Linked DNA regions of Canis lupus familiaris. The protein of the gene in region 2 interacts with the protein of the main gene of each other region in a pairwise test. Links are inferred from orthologs where the notes say so. Each region holds a gene or a part of one and is shown on either strand. Other genes may lie near its edges. The genes, in order: ZNF576, AP4B1 and TEPSIN.

Evidence for each region.
Region 1: the proteins of AP4B1 (region 2) and ZNF576 interact in binary tests that used the Homo sapiens proteins (3 or more experiments, as listed by UniProt). The two-hybrid records come from large-scale screens. The link is inferred for Canis lupus familiaris from reciprocal best matches to the Homo sapiens genes AP4B1 and ZNF576.
Region 3: the proteins of AP4B1 (region 2) and TEPSIN interact in binary tests that used the Homo sapiens proteins (3 or more experiments, as listed by UniProt). The link is inferred for Canis lupus familiaris from reciprocal best matches to the Homo sapiens genes AP4B1 and TEPSIN.

Annotation. Positions count from the first base shown.
Region 1 is NC_049222.1:112,246,008-112,251,241, forward strand, and holds the start of ZNF576 (zinc finger protein 576), read right to left. Parts: upstream 3,346-5,234; 5' UTR 2,620-3,345; intron 2,446-2,619; 5' UTR 2,430-2,445; coding exon 2,345-2,429; intron 1,801-2,344; exon of another isoform or gene 956-1,800; coding exon of another isoform or gene 892-955; coding exon 790-891; intron 692-789; coding exon 264-691; 3' UTR 1-263. Other genes in the region: IRGQ (immunity-related GTPase family Q protein), read left to right, coding at 4,060-4,589. UniProt on the Homo sapiens protein: May be involved in transcriptional regulation.
Region 2 is NC_049238.1:52,234,403-52,238,894, forward strand, and holds part of AP4B1 (AP-4 complex subunit beta-1), read right to left. Parts: coding exon of another isoform or gene 4,346-4,492; intron 3,690-4,345; coding exon of another isoform or gene 3,501-3,689; exon of another isoform or gene 3,238-3,500; intron 2,957-3,237; exon of another isoform or gene 2,837-2,956; intron 2,728-2,836; 5' UTR 2,673-2,727; coding exon 2,560-2,672; intron 983-2,559; coding exon 758-982; intron 283-757; coding exon 152-282; intron 1-151. Other genes in the region: DCLRE1B (5' exonuclease Apollo), read left to right, coding at 3,501-3,689, 4,346-4,492.
Region 3 is NC_049230.1:1,688,743-1,694,011, reverse strand, and holds the start of TEPSIN (AP-4 complex accessory subunit tepsin), read right to left. Parts: upstream 3,180-5,269; 5' UTR 3,138-3,179; coding exon 3,087-3,137; intron 2,980-3,086; coding exon 2,907-2,979; intron 2,749-2,906; coding exon 2,657-2,748; intron 2,542-2,656; coding exon 2,448-2,541; intron 751-2,447; coding exon 683-750; intron 484-682; coding exon 405-483; intron 271-404; coding exon 199-270; intron 1-198. Other genes in the region: NDUFAF8 (NADH dehydrogenase [ubiquinone] 1 alpha subcomplex assembly factor 8), read left to right, coding at 3,454-3,537, 3,655-3,769, 5,209-5,269. UniProt on the Homo sapiens protein: Associates with the adapter-like complex 4 (AP-4) and may therefore play a role in vesicular trafficking of proteins at the trans-Golgi network.

The DNA.
Region 1 (5,234 bases), on a different chromosome or scaffold from region 2:
ACAATTTTCCCTTTTGCTTGTTCATTTCTCTTAAAAGATTTCACTAATTTCGCTATATCCCTGAAGGCCTTTGTGTCCTCCAAAGACTGAATCTGGAGATGAGCATCTTCTGGGTCCTATTTATCAGGAGTCCTTTGCCTGTCCAGGGAGGGAAGCACATCCTTCCAAGGCGCCCATCCCTTATCAGAGGTGGGTTCTAGCAGCCACAGAACCCATCCCCCCCACACACACACCCATTGCCCTAGGGAGGGTGTAACCCTCACTCAGAGTTCCCCCCGGGCATGCCGGATGTAGTGTTGATGCAGCCCAGCTTCCTGGGCAAAGTCCTGACCACACTCAGTGCAGGCAAAGGGGCCTGGAGGGACACGGGTCTCATGCGCCTGGCGGTGCCGCCTCAGAGAAGCAGCCTGCCCAAAGGTCTTGCCACAGTCAGGGCAGGGGAATGTAGGGTGGGCAGCGGTGGGTGCAACTGGCGTGGAGGGCCTGGCTGCTGGACCGTGGCTGCGCTGATGGGCGAGCAGGGCCTTGGAGGAGGGGAAGGAGCGGGCGCAGGTGAAGCAGATGAAGAGGGCCCCCTGCAGCTTCTGGGCCACGAAATCAGCTGGGTGCTCCCGCTTCATGTGACGCTCCTGGAACTTGGAATCGGCGAAGGTGATGAGGCAGCGGGTGCACTGCGGGGCCCCCAGGTGGCCTGAGGGACGTGGGGAGAGGTCGGGGGAAGCCAGCAAGAGTCACCAGGACCTCTCCCAAGCCCCAGGGTCTTGCCAACAATTTACATTCAGTGCTTACTATATGCCAGCTGTACGTCAGGGCTGGACAGTGGCACAGGCAAACTATTACAGGACGTTTTATGGATGAGCAGACTGAGGCTCTGAAAGGTTAGGCAACTTGCTAGGAAATGAAATGGTGGAGTCAGGAATGGAACCCAGGGAGTGTGCTCTCCCAGCAGAGCCATGTGATTAGAGCACAGCCTCTGGAGCCAGACTACTTGGCACTGAATCCCAGATCTGCCACTTCCTAGGCAAGTACAACGGTTTCCTCATCTGGAAAATGGGGTCATAACCATATCAGTATGGTTGACTGATCAGTACAGTTACAACTACCTCATGGGGTTGTTGGAGGGAGTAAATGGGTTATTACTTCATATAAAGTGCTTAGAACAGTGCTACACAGTGGTTTGTGGTTACTCGTATTGAGAAAGAGAAAAGCAGCTTGACAGGGGCTGGCCTGGCACTCACAGCTAGGCCTTGGTGTTCTCCTGTTGAACAGAAGCAGTTTCACAGAACCTTGTCAGACAAAGCCATGCTGTGACTGAGATGAATCACATCAAGACCATGCCAGAGTAACGTCTGAACACAGACAAAACATGAACATTGTCCAAGCCACAAAAATGACCAAACATCCCCCTATCCTGGCTCACAGGAGGGGCTGCTGCTGCTTTATCAATCACAGCTTGAGCCTTTGTACCCCCCCTCCTGGATAAGATTTATTTACACAGCCAACCTATCTTTTGCCCCTACTTACTGGCAGCATTTAATTGGAACAAAACCCTTCCTTGAACCTTCTCCCAAATCACCTAAGATAAGTCCTTTCTAACACTGAGATGCCCCACAGTGCTTCAGGGTGTGTGTGCTTCCTCAGTGCAATGAGCGATAAACCCAACTTGTTCAAATGCAGGTGTGTTCCTGGTGGTCTTTGGCCGGAGGACCTTGACACTGGAGCTCATTGTCCCAGATAACCTCTTTGCCTCAGTTCCCTTATCTGAAAGCAATGCCAATTCCATTGGGTCTGTCAGGAGGACTGAGATAATGAAGGTTAAACTCTTAGAAAGCGCCCAACACCTAGTAAGCATTCAGTAGAAGCTGTTGCTATCCTATGTCAAACTGGCTACCTCTGCTAACAGCAGACTCCCCGATATCAAACCTTCCCCATCTCTGCCACTAATCCCCTTTACAGCCGTGTCACCTGAGTAGTGGCAACCTCTTTTGACAGGGAAACCCGAGCCCAAGTCACACACCCAAAGTCTGGGGCAGAGTTGGCACTGGAACCTCGGGTCTCCTCTCTCAGTGTCCAACATTTTCTCCCACCCAAGCCTCTCTGGGTGCCACTCTGTCCGTCCAAACTGCAGCACATTCGAACTTACGTGGCCAGAGCGGGATGGGTACATCTGAGCACAATAAAGGTAAGGGTAGAGAATGGCAGTTCCTGGTAGGGCAGCTTATAAACCATTTATTACAGCCCCTTTGCAGCAGGCGAGTGCTTGTTACATGCCTGGGACACTGAAATCCTTTTAGCTAGCTAGCATCGGCTCCAGCACCCCACCCGTCTGGCCAGCAGCACTCACAGATGTCGCCTCCTGGGCTGCGGGGACTCCTCTCCTGGGACGGATCCTGCTGCTCCGTGGCCCCTTCGAGATGCGGGTCCTCCATAACGCCTGGGATCCCTCTGGTCAAGAGAGCAGCGCGCATGACAGGACAGTAAATCAAGTGAAGTCGCTCATGTATCCATTGCATGAAGGGGCCCGCAATCCTATGACCTCCGGCAGGCTCCCCTTGCTTCCCGCCCACCCCCACCCCACCCCACCCCACCCCGTAAGAGGCCATCCTCTTGAACTCTAACCTGGTGGAGCTCTCCTCAGGGAAGCTTCGACCCTCTCAAAAGATCCGACTCCCCAGGCCTGTGATACCCCGTGGAGCCGTCTGACCTGCGTGAGACCTCTGGCCTCCCACATCTAACTCCCTGAAGTGCGGGCATGGAACCCTTGATCTCTTGACACCAGCTCTCCCACGTGTCTTGAGGCAGGTAGTGGCGCCCCGGGTCTAACCCGCCTCCTCCCGGGAGGCATCTTTCTCTGACATCCTGTGACCCTCGTTCCACCCCGGGCCCCCGCCTCCCACGCGCGCCTTCAGCCTCGGTTCCCTCCTCCCGAGGCCGGGTAGCCCCAGGCCTCGGCTTTTCTCCGGACAGCAGCGGGCAGCTCTCGTGGCGCCAGTCGGCCGCCTCGTCACAGCGCCGCCACCCGGAGGGAAGCGGGGTAGGGCCCCCGAGGCTCAAGGTCCCAGGGGCTCCCACGCCCTTTCGCCGGAGGAGCCTCTCGACGCCGAAAGCCCGGCTACTATCCGGCAGTGATGCAGTCGCGCCAGCCGGGTCCTCAGAGAAACGGGAGGGGTCCTTCCCCGCAGCGGGATGCGTTATGATGACGTCGCGGCCGCCCGTGCCGGACCGACCTCCGCTTCTTGCGCAAATGTGGCCGGGCGCTGCTGGCGCGCAGGCGCTCTGACTCCCTCATTGTTCGGGGCCCCGCGGCAGCAGCAGGGGGGAGCCGGCGCGCTTCGATTGCTCTGCGCAGCCGCCGCCAAGGGCTGTAGCCCCGAGGTCACGCTTCCAAGACACACCCCCTCCTTAAAAGAGTGACGTCAGGTTAGAGCCCTCGGAACGGGTCTGGACGGCCCCCCCTCCGCCCCTCCGCCCCAAATCGGGGCGCCCTAACCTCTTCGGCCTCCGTCCGCCCGACCCCAAGGGCGGGGCTTCTCAGCGGCTGACCCGCCGCCGCGGATCGCGCTCTCCGGTGACTGCCAGCGCTTTGCTCGGTTAGTGGTTTGGAAGGGAGGAGTGCGGGAATAAAAACATCCATGTCCCTGAGGGAGGAGGGGCCTGGAGGTCCGGATGTCTAAGATTTTGAAACCGAGAGAGTGGGGCGCCTGGGCGGCTCAGCCGGTTGAGCGTCTGTCTTCTCTCAGGTGATGATCCCCGGGGTCCTGGGGTGGAGCCCCGCATCAGGCTCCCGCTCAGCGAGGAGTGGGCTTCTCCCTCCGCCCCTCCCCCCCGGCTGTGCTCTCTCTCTCTCTCTAAAATCAATAAAATATATATTTTTAAATGTATCCAGAAAGAGGGCGGACAAGCCACCCGGGTCCTTGGGGAATAGACAGGGCGTGGGTGCCGGATGTTTCCCTGGGAGTGACACGCAAGAATGGAGGGGGGACAGAGTGAGCAGACCAGGAAAGAAAAAGGTCGAGTGCTCCCTGACCCGGGTCTGCACCACCCCCTTGCCTTCCAGGTATGCCACCGCCACGGGGTGACGTGACCGCCTTGTTCCTGGGGCCTCCGGGCTGTGGCAAGTCCGCGCTGATCGCAGCGCTGTGCGACGGGAATGTGGAGACCATAGAGATTCCCGAGGGCCGACCGGACTCCGGGATCCCCAGCCTGCGAGCATTGGGCCCTGGCCTCTTCCTGGGCGAGCTGAGCTGTCCGCCCGCAGCGCCAGGGCCCTGGGCGGCGGAGGCCAACGTGCTGGTATTGGTGCTGCCCGGCCCCGAGGGGAACGGGGAGCCCCTGGCCCCAGCGCTGGGAGAGGCAGCGCGGGCCGCCCTGGCCCGAGGGACCCCGCTGCTGGCTGTGCGGAATCTCCGCCCTGGGGAGTCACAAGATGAAGCCCAGGCCCGGGATCAGACCGCGGCCCTGCTGAACGGCGCGGGGTTGGGGGCCGCTGCTCTCTTCGTGCTGCCCGCGGACTGCGGCCGCCGAGACGGCTGCAAGGAATTGGAGCGCCTGCGGGTGGCGCTGCGGAGCCAGGCGGAGGTGCTGCAGAGGTGAGCGAGGACTTGAGGCCTAGTGCTTTACATTTCACATCCAGAAAATGTTCTTTGAGATCGCGAGACCCCACCCCCAGTGAGTTTGGGGCAGGCCTTAACAGGATAGCTGCTGGGGGCCCTGCTCTCTGGCCCTGGTCCTGCCCCTCAGCGCAGGTTTTGAGGTCAGCGAGGCTCCACTCCAAGCCAGCACTCAATGCTGGAGCCTTTCTTGTCTTCTAGGCTCCGCCCCACCAAAAGGTCAGCTCGAGGTTCTGACCCGTCCTCCCAGGTTCTGCCCCCCGCAAGCATTCTCAGGTCCCAAGCCCTGCTTCACTGAGCATTTTAGGAGAGGCGAGGACCTAATGCCCAAATACTTCCCCCATGGCAAAAGTTTGGAGGAAGGCTTACTCAGCACACAAGCCTGCGATCCCCGCCAAGATGTTACCCAGGGATTCACACTTTCGAGCCCTCCTCGTCCTCTCCACCTTCAGCTTTGCTCCACCTTCAGCTTTGTTCTCAAGCTACACTAGTCCTTGTAAAGCCACACCCTCAGTGAGCCTTGCCCTTTCTGGATTTCCTCCCCCTCTGCCTTTCTTTAATCCCAATCCCATCTCATTTCTATGCCCACTCGCTGGCTACCTCCTAAATCCTCCCCCCCCCCAT
Region 2 (4,492 bases):
ATACCAAACCAGCCTTTCTACTTAAAGAGGCAAGTACAGAAGTAGGGCCATATTACTATTTTCTACCAAAGTCATGTCATCTTTTACAAAACCATACATATAATGGAGACACAAATAAATACTGATCATGATGGATTACACTGAAACTTACCCACTTCAGAGTCTCCATGAAGATTATGCATCTTGGCACAACCAAGGACCGCCACCCTCCTGACATATGAAGCTTTATCTCGCAGGCCATTGAGAATAGGCTGTTGGATATATTCCTGCACACCAGGCATCCTAAGCAACACATCCTGGAGTCAGCCAGATCTTGAAATACTAGTTTTGACATACTTCAGCCCCTATTCACTTAACAAGAGGGTTAGTAGATGTTTGAATGTACCTCTATCACATCATAAAGAATTAGGGAAAGCCACTGCCCAACTTAAAAAGTCAGACTTGATTTTTCATTTGGAATAATACTCCAGGGGCAGCAAAAATATATTATCTACATATTATCTATATTTACTGACTTGTTTAGAAACCTTTACCCAAAACCAAAAACTATTTCAGTGAGGATGGAAAACTCCCTTTAATGTAACCATATGACATAGTTTTTTTAAGCCTAAGCAATGGCTGAAAACCTGAGTTCAGGTTACAACAGCATTTTCCCTAGTATTACGAAGCTCAAATAGATTATCACCATTGAAAACATGTCCCATGATCTCCTGAATACATCAGCCACTGATAAACAGTCAGGGAAGCGGGTACTCACCTAAGGCTACACATGCTCCGTAATGCCAGCCCTCGCACCATCGGATTGGGATCCGAACAGTCTTTGCACAGCGTATTAATAGCCAAAAGAGCCAGATCTGGTTTCAGGGGGGCGTATGTACACATGTACAGATAAACCAACTTCTTCTGAACAATATCTACAGTGGCACTCGCCTTCACCATTTCCATGAAAACACCGGACATGTCCAAGCCCTGAGTCATGTGCCTGAAACCAATACACACAGTAGAAAAAAGTAAAATACATAATCCCCAGCCGACAACAAAAGGCATTTTACCTATACACATCCTGGCTATCCAACTGGATTGTGAAGGAAGCAACCACATCTACCTTGCCTATTACACTGCACAATACTTCACACTATGGGCCTACCACAAATGTTCTATTCATTCAACAAACACTTATTGAATTCCTGGTACATTCCAGTGTAACTCAGCTTCTACATTCCAGGGATATGCTCTGGGGATATAATCTTGAAGAATGCATGGTCTCAGATCTCTAGGAACTCAAAATATGACTAAGGAGCAAGATAAAAAAAATGCCACTAATTACAGTACCACAGGTAGGTATTAAAACAGAAGTAACAGACAAGGTGCAGTGGGGATCCAGAAATCTAATACTGCTAAGAAATCATAAAATTGGGGGTATCCCTGGGTTTCTCAGCGGTTTGGTGCCTGCCTTCGGGCCAGGGTGTGATCCTAGAGTCCCTGGAAAGAGTCCTGCATCCGGCTTCCTGCATGGAGTCTGCTTCTCCCTCTGCCTGTGTCTCTGCCTCTCTCTGTGTCTTTCATGAATAAATAAATTTAAAAAAATCATAAAAAATGTTTCCAAAGGGGAAGTAATACTTCAGTTGAATGAGCTGGAATTTTCCAGGCAAGTGTAGTAGGTAAGTAATGCTACACTCTGCGAGTCTGCAAGTAGTTCCCTAAGCAGGGTGTTCTTTGGTTGCTATGATAAGAAGTTTGGACTTTATTCTGTAGATCACTGTTTCTCAAGCGGTGGTCTCCTACAGGAAGCAGATGGGATGTCTGTTTCCAATGCATATTCCTGGGTTCCACGCCACCTTACTAAAAGCAGTATTACTGGACCGGATGAAAATTTTACATTTTTTAAAAAAAGCACCCCAAGGGACTTTTGTGCATACCAAAGTTTGCAATCCACAACCACAGGCAAGAGTTATGCATTATTCAAACTCATATGTTGGGAAACTTGACTGAAATGAGGCAAGGTGACCTACTGGTAAGCCGCTGCAATTGCTTTGATAATAAAACCAGAACAGCGGTGCCAACAAAAAATAAATAGGTAGAACTTTTTAAGGAAAAGAAGATGGATATCTAGAACTATATATCCATACCATCTGACCAGAGAAGTGAAAATCAAGAGTCATCAAGACTGATTCCCTCCCCTGGTCAGCTGGATGGTGACATTCCTCAACCCAAATACCAGCGGAAGAGCAGGTTTGGGGAGAGGGGCAGGACACAGGTGCTATTTTGCATGTCTTTGAAGAAACATCCAGAAGGGAATGCCCAGCAGGCAGTAGGATATGTGGGTCTGAAGATACAAAAGGCTTTTTGTCCCAGATTCTATAGGTCTAGAGGGAGTCAGCAGTGTAAGTTCCAGGCACGGGTGTAGCCACTCTCCCGAGTAAACGGAGTCAAGTGGGTCCCCCGGGGGAGGCTGCGAAGGCCGGCGGGGCAGCAGGGCGACCCGACGTGCCCTGCCCGGTGTGAGCGGCCAGGGGTGGAGGGCCCGCGGCGGCGGGGAGCGCGGGCCGTGGCTGATACCTAATCACTCGCTGGATGACATTCCGGTAGCGCAGCCTATCCGCCTGAACGTGAGGGTTGCACAGAGCTTTCTTCAGCTCCTTCACCACGTCCTCGGAGCCCAGGTACGGCATCGTCTCCCGGCCAGGAGCAGTCCCCGCGGGCTCCTCCCAGCCCTGACGGGGGAACCTGGGCGAAGCAAAGGTCGGTCGGCGAAGCGCCCCGAGGCGTGAGGTCGGCCCCGCCTCCGCTTCCCCCGGGCCGCAGCCCAGGCTCCACGGCCCGGCGAGCCCCGCACCCGCTCCGGCGGTTCCCTCCTGGGGCCCGCAGGCCGGCTCGCTCCGCCCCGAGACGGCCCCGGCTACCCCGAGGCCCTCCGCCCCACTCCCAGCCTCGCCGCCCCAGGGCGCGGCCCCCTCCCGGCCGGGGCCGCCGTCCGAGCGCCTCCGCGCGGCGACCCGCCCCGATAGGCCCCGGCCCGCGCCCTGCGGAAGTCCCGCCTCCTCCGGGCCGACGGCGCCCAGCCGCGCCCCCCCTCCCCCCCCCCCCCCCGCGGGAGCGCCGAGCGCCGAGCGCCGCCCGGACGCCGACCTCCCGGCGCCCTCCCCCGCCGCTCCGCGGGGCGCAGCCGCGCAGCTCCCTCTGCCGGGGGCGCGGCGACCATCGGAGATCCGCTGCTTCGGCCTGTCTGCGCCCGGCAGCGCGCGCTTTGAGTGCCCGGCCTCAGCCCCGGCTCCCGCGCGCGGGGAGGAGTGGCGCTCGGGCGGGCGGTTTGCGCGGTTTGCGCTTCCAGCCGGGCCTCCCGGGAGCGCGGCCGCTTCCTTCTTTCTGTCCCCGCCTGCAGGGGCTTCTTCCTCTCCCGGGCCGGCTTCCCGTTGCCCCCAGCGCGACTTTCCAGAGGGCGCGATCGCGGAGCCCTGAGCCCATGAGGATCCCGCGGGTGAGCCCGCGGCCCCGCCACCATGAACGGGGCCCTGATCCCCCACACCCCCATCGCCGTGGACTTTTGGAGCCTGCGCCGGGCTGGCTCCGCACGGCTCTTCTTCCTGTCCCACATGCACTCGGACCACACCGTGGGCTTGTCTAGCACCTGGGCCCGGCCGCTCTACTGCTCCCCCATCACGGCTCACCTCGTGCACCGTCAGCTGCAGGTACCCGGGGGCTCGGGGGAGGGGAAGGGGGCGGGGCGGAGTCCCGTGGCGCTGTGCGATCCGTCACAGCCTCGGGCGCGTAGAGCGGGGACAGGAGGGCCGAGTTTTACAAATGCGGGAGTGGTTTGAATCCAGAAATGCGCCTGGCTTCTTGACTGGCCGACTTGGGATGTTTCAGCTAGAAGTCGGGGAGATCTTTTAGTCCACCCAAGGAAACTACCTACCTTTTCATGTAAACCAGGCCAGTGCTTCCTTAGTCTCATCAGAATCCACCTAATGTGCTGGGGGACTACACATGTTCTCCAGCGGCCCCCACCCTACCTCCGCTCTCCCACCGATCCAGTAGATCTAGCTGGAGCAGGTCTTGGAAATCTGGTTGGACCAGGTGCTCCCTAGGGATTATGATGATCAGGAATGTTTGAGAATCTCTTGGCTAGACTGGTTTTGGACTCATAATTTAAACTGTACAAAGAGTGGGAGGGGAGAGTAAGAGAAAGAAGGGGGGATTTGAGGGGACTCTCCATAGAGCTCCTGCTCCACGGTGGCTTAGGATGTGGTCTGCTTTCCCTCCCTCCTTGCCGTAAAGGGTTAGTTCCTGATCCAGGGCAGTATCAAGGAGATTCTGTGTTCACTAGAATGACCACCTTTTTCCTCAGGTATCTAAGAGGTGGATCCGGGCCTTGGAGGTTGGTGAGAGCCATGTCCTGCCTCTAGATGAAATTGGGCGCGAGACCATGACTGTAACCCTCATGGATGCCAATCACTGCCCTGGCTCTGTCATGTTTCTCTTTGAAGGATACTTT
Region 3 (5,269 bases), on a different chromosome or scaffold from region 2:
GCCGTGTGTGCAAATGAGGCCCAGCCTGACTTCTCCCCTGCTGGCTAAGCAGACCCGGCCGGCCTCGTCCCACAGGCCCCGGCAGAGAAGGTGGAGTGGGCAGGGCACGCCAGCTGGCCACATCACCCTCCAGGGCTCGGCAGGCCTGAGCTGCCAGGCCCTCGCCCCCACGGCTCTGGGAGCCCACGCAGCACTCACCCGTGTGGCCCCGCTCCTTGCTGTAGCCGAAGCCCTGGAGGGAGCCCTGGGGTCTGGACTGCGAGCCCATGCCTGCAGGCAAGTGTGGCTACTCATCCTCAGCCCTGCGCAGAGTGGCACGCCGGCCGAGGACAGCAGGTGGGGAGAAGGGACCCCAGGCCTTCCAGAGGGAACACCCAGCGGCAGGGATGGACACAGCGGCCTACCTGCTGGAAGCAGGCCCCTGGGAGCCTGGGAGTGAGGCGGAGGGGACACGCTGTCAGAGAATAGTGCGCTTCCCAAGTCCTAGATGAGGAGGAGGGTGCTCAGCACGTGCAGCTGGGCTGCCATCCCCCCCCATCCCCCCGTCCCCAGGGTTCTCAGAGGCCAGGCTGGGTGGGGGGGACGGGGGGCTGGTCCCACAGCAGGAACAGAGCCAGGGTCCCAGGCGGTTGGAGAACAAAGGCCCAGTGCTGCCCTAGAGCCGACCTGAGTCCCGACTCACCTGGGCGGCCGCCCGCACCTTCTGGTACAAGCTGTTCCCGTGGAGAGGATCCGGGGGCCCTGAGAACGCTGCGGGCAGAGCCGGAGAACCAACGCTGAGCGGGCGCTGGTGACCGCAGGGGTGACGCTCCAACACTCGCGTTCCCTGGGGGGGTGAGCTGCAGCCCATCCCGGCCGTGACCAGGCCCCCCAGGGGCCCCTACAACTCTGATCCCCGGCAGGTGGCCCTGGCAGCCCCAGGGTCAGGGTTAGCTCCCTAAAGCACAGGTCGGACCTCAAATCCCCCACATGACAGCACTTCCAGGTCAAAGTCCTTACAGCAGCCATCAGCCCGCGGAAGCTGCCACCCCCCCAGAATGCTCTGCCCCATGGACAAAGCCTGGAGAGCACCCAGAGCCCCTCATCCAGGACGCCCTGCCCCAGGCTGCTTCTAGAGCCGCACCCCTGCAGGCCCCAGCTCCCATGCTCACACCAGGCCTGCGTGTCGACCTGCAAAGCACGACGTGGGTGGCCCCCTCCCTGACCCCACCGTCTCTCTGAGTTCCTGCAGGGGCAGCCTTACTACCTCTGCACCCCCTTCTGCCCGAAAGACACACAGAGGATCTCGTCCAATCCAAAGCCCCACAGAGGTCCCGGGGGGCCGGGCGACAAAAGCCCGCTCTTTATCATGACCCACAAGCTCCACCTCTCGAAGGTCTGAGCTCAGGGTTACAGCAAGTGAGATTCTCCAGAAAAAACGAGCCCACCCTAGGCTCTGTCTCATCCGTCACAGACGCACCTCTCTTCCCAGCCCCCTGGCACCGTGCTGTCTCCACTGCGGCTGGTGGCCCAGGACCAGCAGCCGGGAGCCGAACCTCCAGTGAGTGGGGATGGCACCCCCTCATTCCCATGGGACTCCTGCCCTGGGGCCACCTCCCCACAGCCTGGCGCTGTCCCCTGGGCTTGGAGCATGGCAGATGGAGGCTGTGGCCACGTGTTCCTGGGGTGCAGGACTGGGGGACGGCTTGTGTGCAAGTTGGCAGCACAGACACGCCCCGGCCGGCGAAAGTAAGCGAGGCAGGCCTGCTGTTTTTGCACAGGAGTTTTGGGGGGCACTGGTGACGAGCACGAGCCCCGGTGGACACCGGGGGCAGCGGCCAAGTCTGGGGGCAGGATGCTCTCCGGGGTGCCGAGTGCCCAGCCTCGCCCAGCCTGTCCTTGAAGGGCTGAGGTGGCTTCAGGGCGGGGAGGTGCTGCCTAACGATGGGGGTCCTCCGAGCGCACCAGGTGCCTCCCCGGGGCTCTCACGGGCCCAGCTCGGTGTGCACGGTTCCTGCCTGAACGTGGGCCCTTCCAAGACTCCCCGAGGCCGGGCGGCGGGGCCTGTAGATGCTGCAGCTGCCTCACCTGAGGGAAGGTCTCGGGCCACGCCTCCCAAGTTCTAGTTAAAGAGAAACAAACAGGACAGCCCCCGGCGTGGGTGGGGTGAGACCGGCGGCTCCCCTGCAGCCCCATCTGTCGCCTAGACCGCGACAGGCCAGGCCCCCCTCGTGCAAGCTCACAGCGCTCCCTGGCTCGGGCCCTGAGGACACGAATCATCTCTGGCGGGTCGGGCACTAGAACAGGCAGGACGGGCCTGGGCCGCCCAGGCCGGGCAGGACACACGGGCAGAAAGTGACGGGCCAGACGCAGTAGGGCTGGGGCGCAGACGGGAGCTGCCAGGAAGGGTCCTGCGGTGGGGGTACCCCTGGGGGTCGGCGCAGGGCCCCCCGCCCCGCGCCCGGTACCTGCAGCCTCTTGGATGAAGGCGGGGTTGCGCTTGAGGATGAGCACGGAAGACGGGGAGCCGTGGCCACACAGGTGGAGCAGGATCTTCAGCACCTGGGGGGCGGGCAGGTGGGGCAGGCGGCACGCACCCCGCCGCGCCCCGCCTGCATCCGCCGCCCGCGGGTGGGAGCTGGGCCTGCCCTGGGTGGGGGGCCGCGCGGGGACTCACCTTGAGCTTCACGCGGCCGGAGCCGCTGTGCAGCCGGGTCAGAAGGTACTCCAGGAGGCACTGGCTGCTGCCCGGGGACTCGTGGGAGATGCCTGGCCGGCCGTGGTTAGGGAAGGGCTGAGCGGGGTCGGCCGCGCCTCCCGCCCCCCGGCCCCGCGCGGGCCTCCCCGCCGCCCCGCCGCCCCCCCGGCCTCCGGCGCAGGAGCTGCAGCGGCCCGGCCCGCGGGCGAGCGGCGGACACGAAGGATACGGGCGATCTCCTCGAACAGGTAGCCCGGACACGGGGCGTCGTCATCCGACGTTCCCTTCAGGAGGAGCGGGAGCTGGAGAGGAAACAGGGCCCGGCCCGCAAGGCGTGAGCGCCGCGGGGAGGCGGCCGAGGGCGAAGGCAAGAGGCCCCGGCGGGGGCTGAGCGGCCGCCCGCACTCACCCGGTGCAGGAAGCTCAGCCGGTCCCGCAGCGCCGGCGTGGCCGCCATCATGCCGGTCACCTTCCGGCCCCCCCGCCGCCGCGGCCCCCCTCCAATCCCCGCGCACGCCTGGCCCAGCTGGCCAATCGCCCGTGCGGGGCGGGCACACCACGCGAGCCTGAACCAATCCGAAGTCCCACGTCAAAGACAGACAAACCCGCCAGCCACTTGCAGTGTTCCCGGAGCCGGGTCGCCGTTCCGGAAGGGGGCGGGGCTAGCGGTGGGGTGGGGCTGAGGCCCAGCCAATCAGGGGGCGCACGGGACGCTGGGCGCCGGAAGAGGGCGGGCGCAAGATGGCGGCGCCCACGGGTGCTGGGAGTAGCGGCTCATGTCCGGGAACGGAGCGGTGTGGGGGCGCGTGCGGGGCCGCCTCCGCGCCTTCCCCGGGCGCCTAGCGGCCTGCGGGGCCGAGGTGAGGAGCCGCCGGGCGGGGCGGGGCCTGCGGGACAGGCGGGGCCCGCACGGGCGGGGCGGTGACCGGCGGGCGCGGAGGCCGTCGCGATCCCGGCGCGTCCCGCCCGCCCTCCAGGCCGCGGCCTACGGCAGGTGCGTGCAGGCGTCCACGGCCCCGGGCGGCCGCCTGGCGAAGGACCTCTGTGCGCCGGAGTTCGAGGCTCTGCGGCGCTGCTTCGCCGCCGCGGTAGGTGGGCGCCCCCGGGGGACAGTGGGGCGCGGGGCGGGGGGGGCCCGGGCGCAGCGGCAGCTGCCGTCTCCTTCCCGCGCGTGCGCTCAGGCCGGCCGCGCCGCCCGACCCCCGACGGCGAAGGGCATTCAGGAGGCCGCTCCCCGGGAAGGGCAGCCCCCGAGCGGCGCTCGCTGGCCCTCTGGCCCCCGCGGGGCTTCTGCTCCGGGGCCGGGACTCAGCCGCGCCGCATCACGCCCCTTCTGCTGCCGACGCGCAGCCTGCGGAGGTGCTGTGACCGCCTGCCCTGCCCCAAAGCGGAGAGTACGGGTCGCGTGGAGCACATGGGGTTGGACATGCTCCAGGAACCCGGCGCCCGAGGAGGGGGCCCTGGGCTGGGCCGGGATGCCCGCGATCCCCTGTGTCCCCCGGAGCTGCCGGTGCAGAGGACCCGACGCGGACAGGGCGGTTGAGCTCGGCGGACTCCGGGGACCTCAGGCCGTCCGTCCCCTGACATTCCGGGATCGATCATCCTGAGCGGGTAGCTGTGCCTTGGCCGCTTGTCTGGGAGAGGACAGTGCGAGGCTCCCTTCCCGGGGGCTCGGAGATTTTGCACCTCCCCGGGGACGCTCAGGCCTGGTCCTGCCCCCAGCCAGCCCCCCCCCCCACCCGTGGCCAGCCTCGTATATGACGTGGGCCGTGCAGCCAGGCACACCTGTCCCCTGCGCTTCCTCCCCGGTTCTACAGTCTTCCCCGGGGGACTCTCCACTCTGGGGCTGCAGCTTGGAAGAAGCTCCGTGGAAGGACCAAACACGTTCCCTACACACAGGTCTCTCCGTGGCACCTTTTGTGGTGAGGGCCCACCTGTTCCAGGCGCCTGTATGCTCCTTTGCCATGGTCGTCTACAGATGCTCCCACAGCGCGCCCTAAGCTTGGGGGCTCTTTCCCATGCCCCCATCACGGAAGATGACCCTGCTGAGAGCTGGGGGACCTGACGTTCAGGACGAGGGTGCTTGAGTGTTTGTCACCACGAGGAAATGCACCGATGAGCACCTTTTTGCCCAGTCTGCTGCAGTCCCCAGCCTTGCACAGAGCTGCCTGAGGAGGCAGAGAGGGTGCTGGGTCCCGTCCAGCTCCGTGCCAGGGAGCCCTGTCTCTGGGCAAGTGTTTTCGGCGCTTCACCTCAGCGTTCTCTGTAAGGAGCTCCCGCCGCCTTGTGAGCACTGAGCGCGCTGTGTTGGGGGGCCTGCACAGGGCCTGGTCCAGGGCGGCGTGGCTTGAGGGCCTTGGCCTGCGGCAGCTCCAAGCACCTGAGCCTCCAGCCACGCGGCCGTGCCGGCGCCCGCAGCCGGGCTCTCTGGAAGATGTTTGCTGCTGCCGGACGGCGTTTGGTGGGATGGTTTTCTTGTTTTATGGTCTCTTCTAACTTAACCTGTTCACACCAAATTCTTTATTTTCTAGGCCAAAAAGACCCTGAGGGGAGGCCTTTAGGATGGACGAGCGAGCACTGCACTTGTTTACT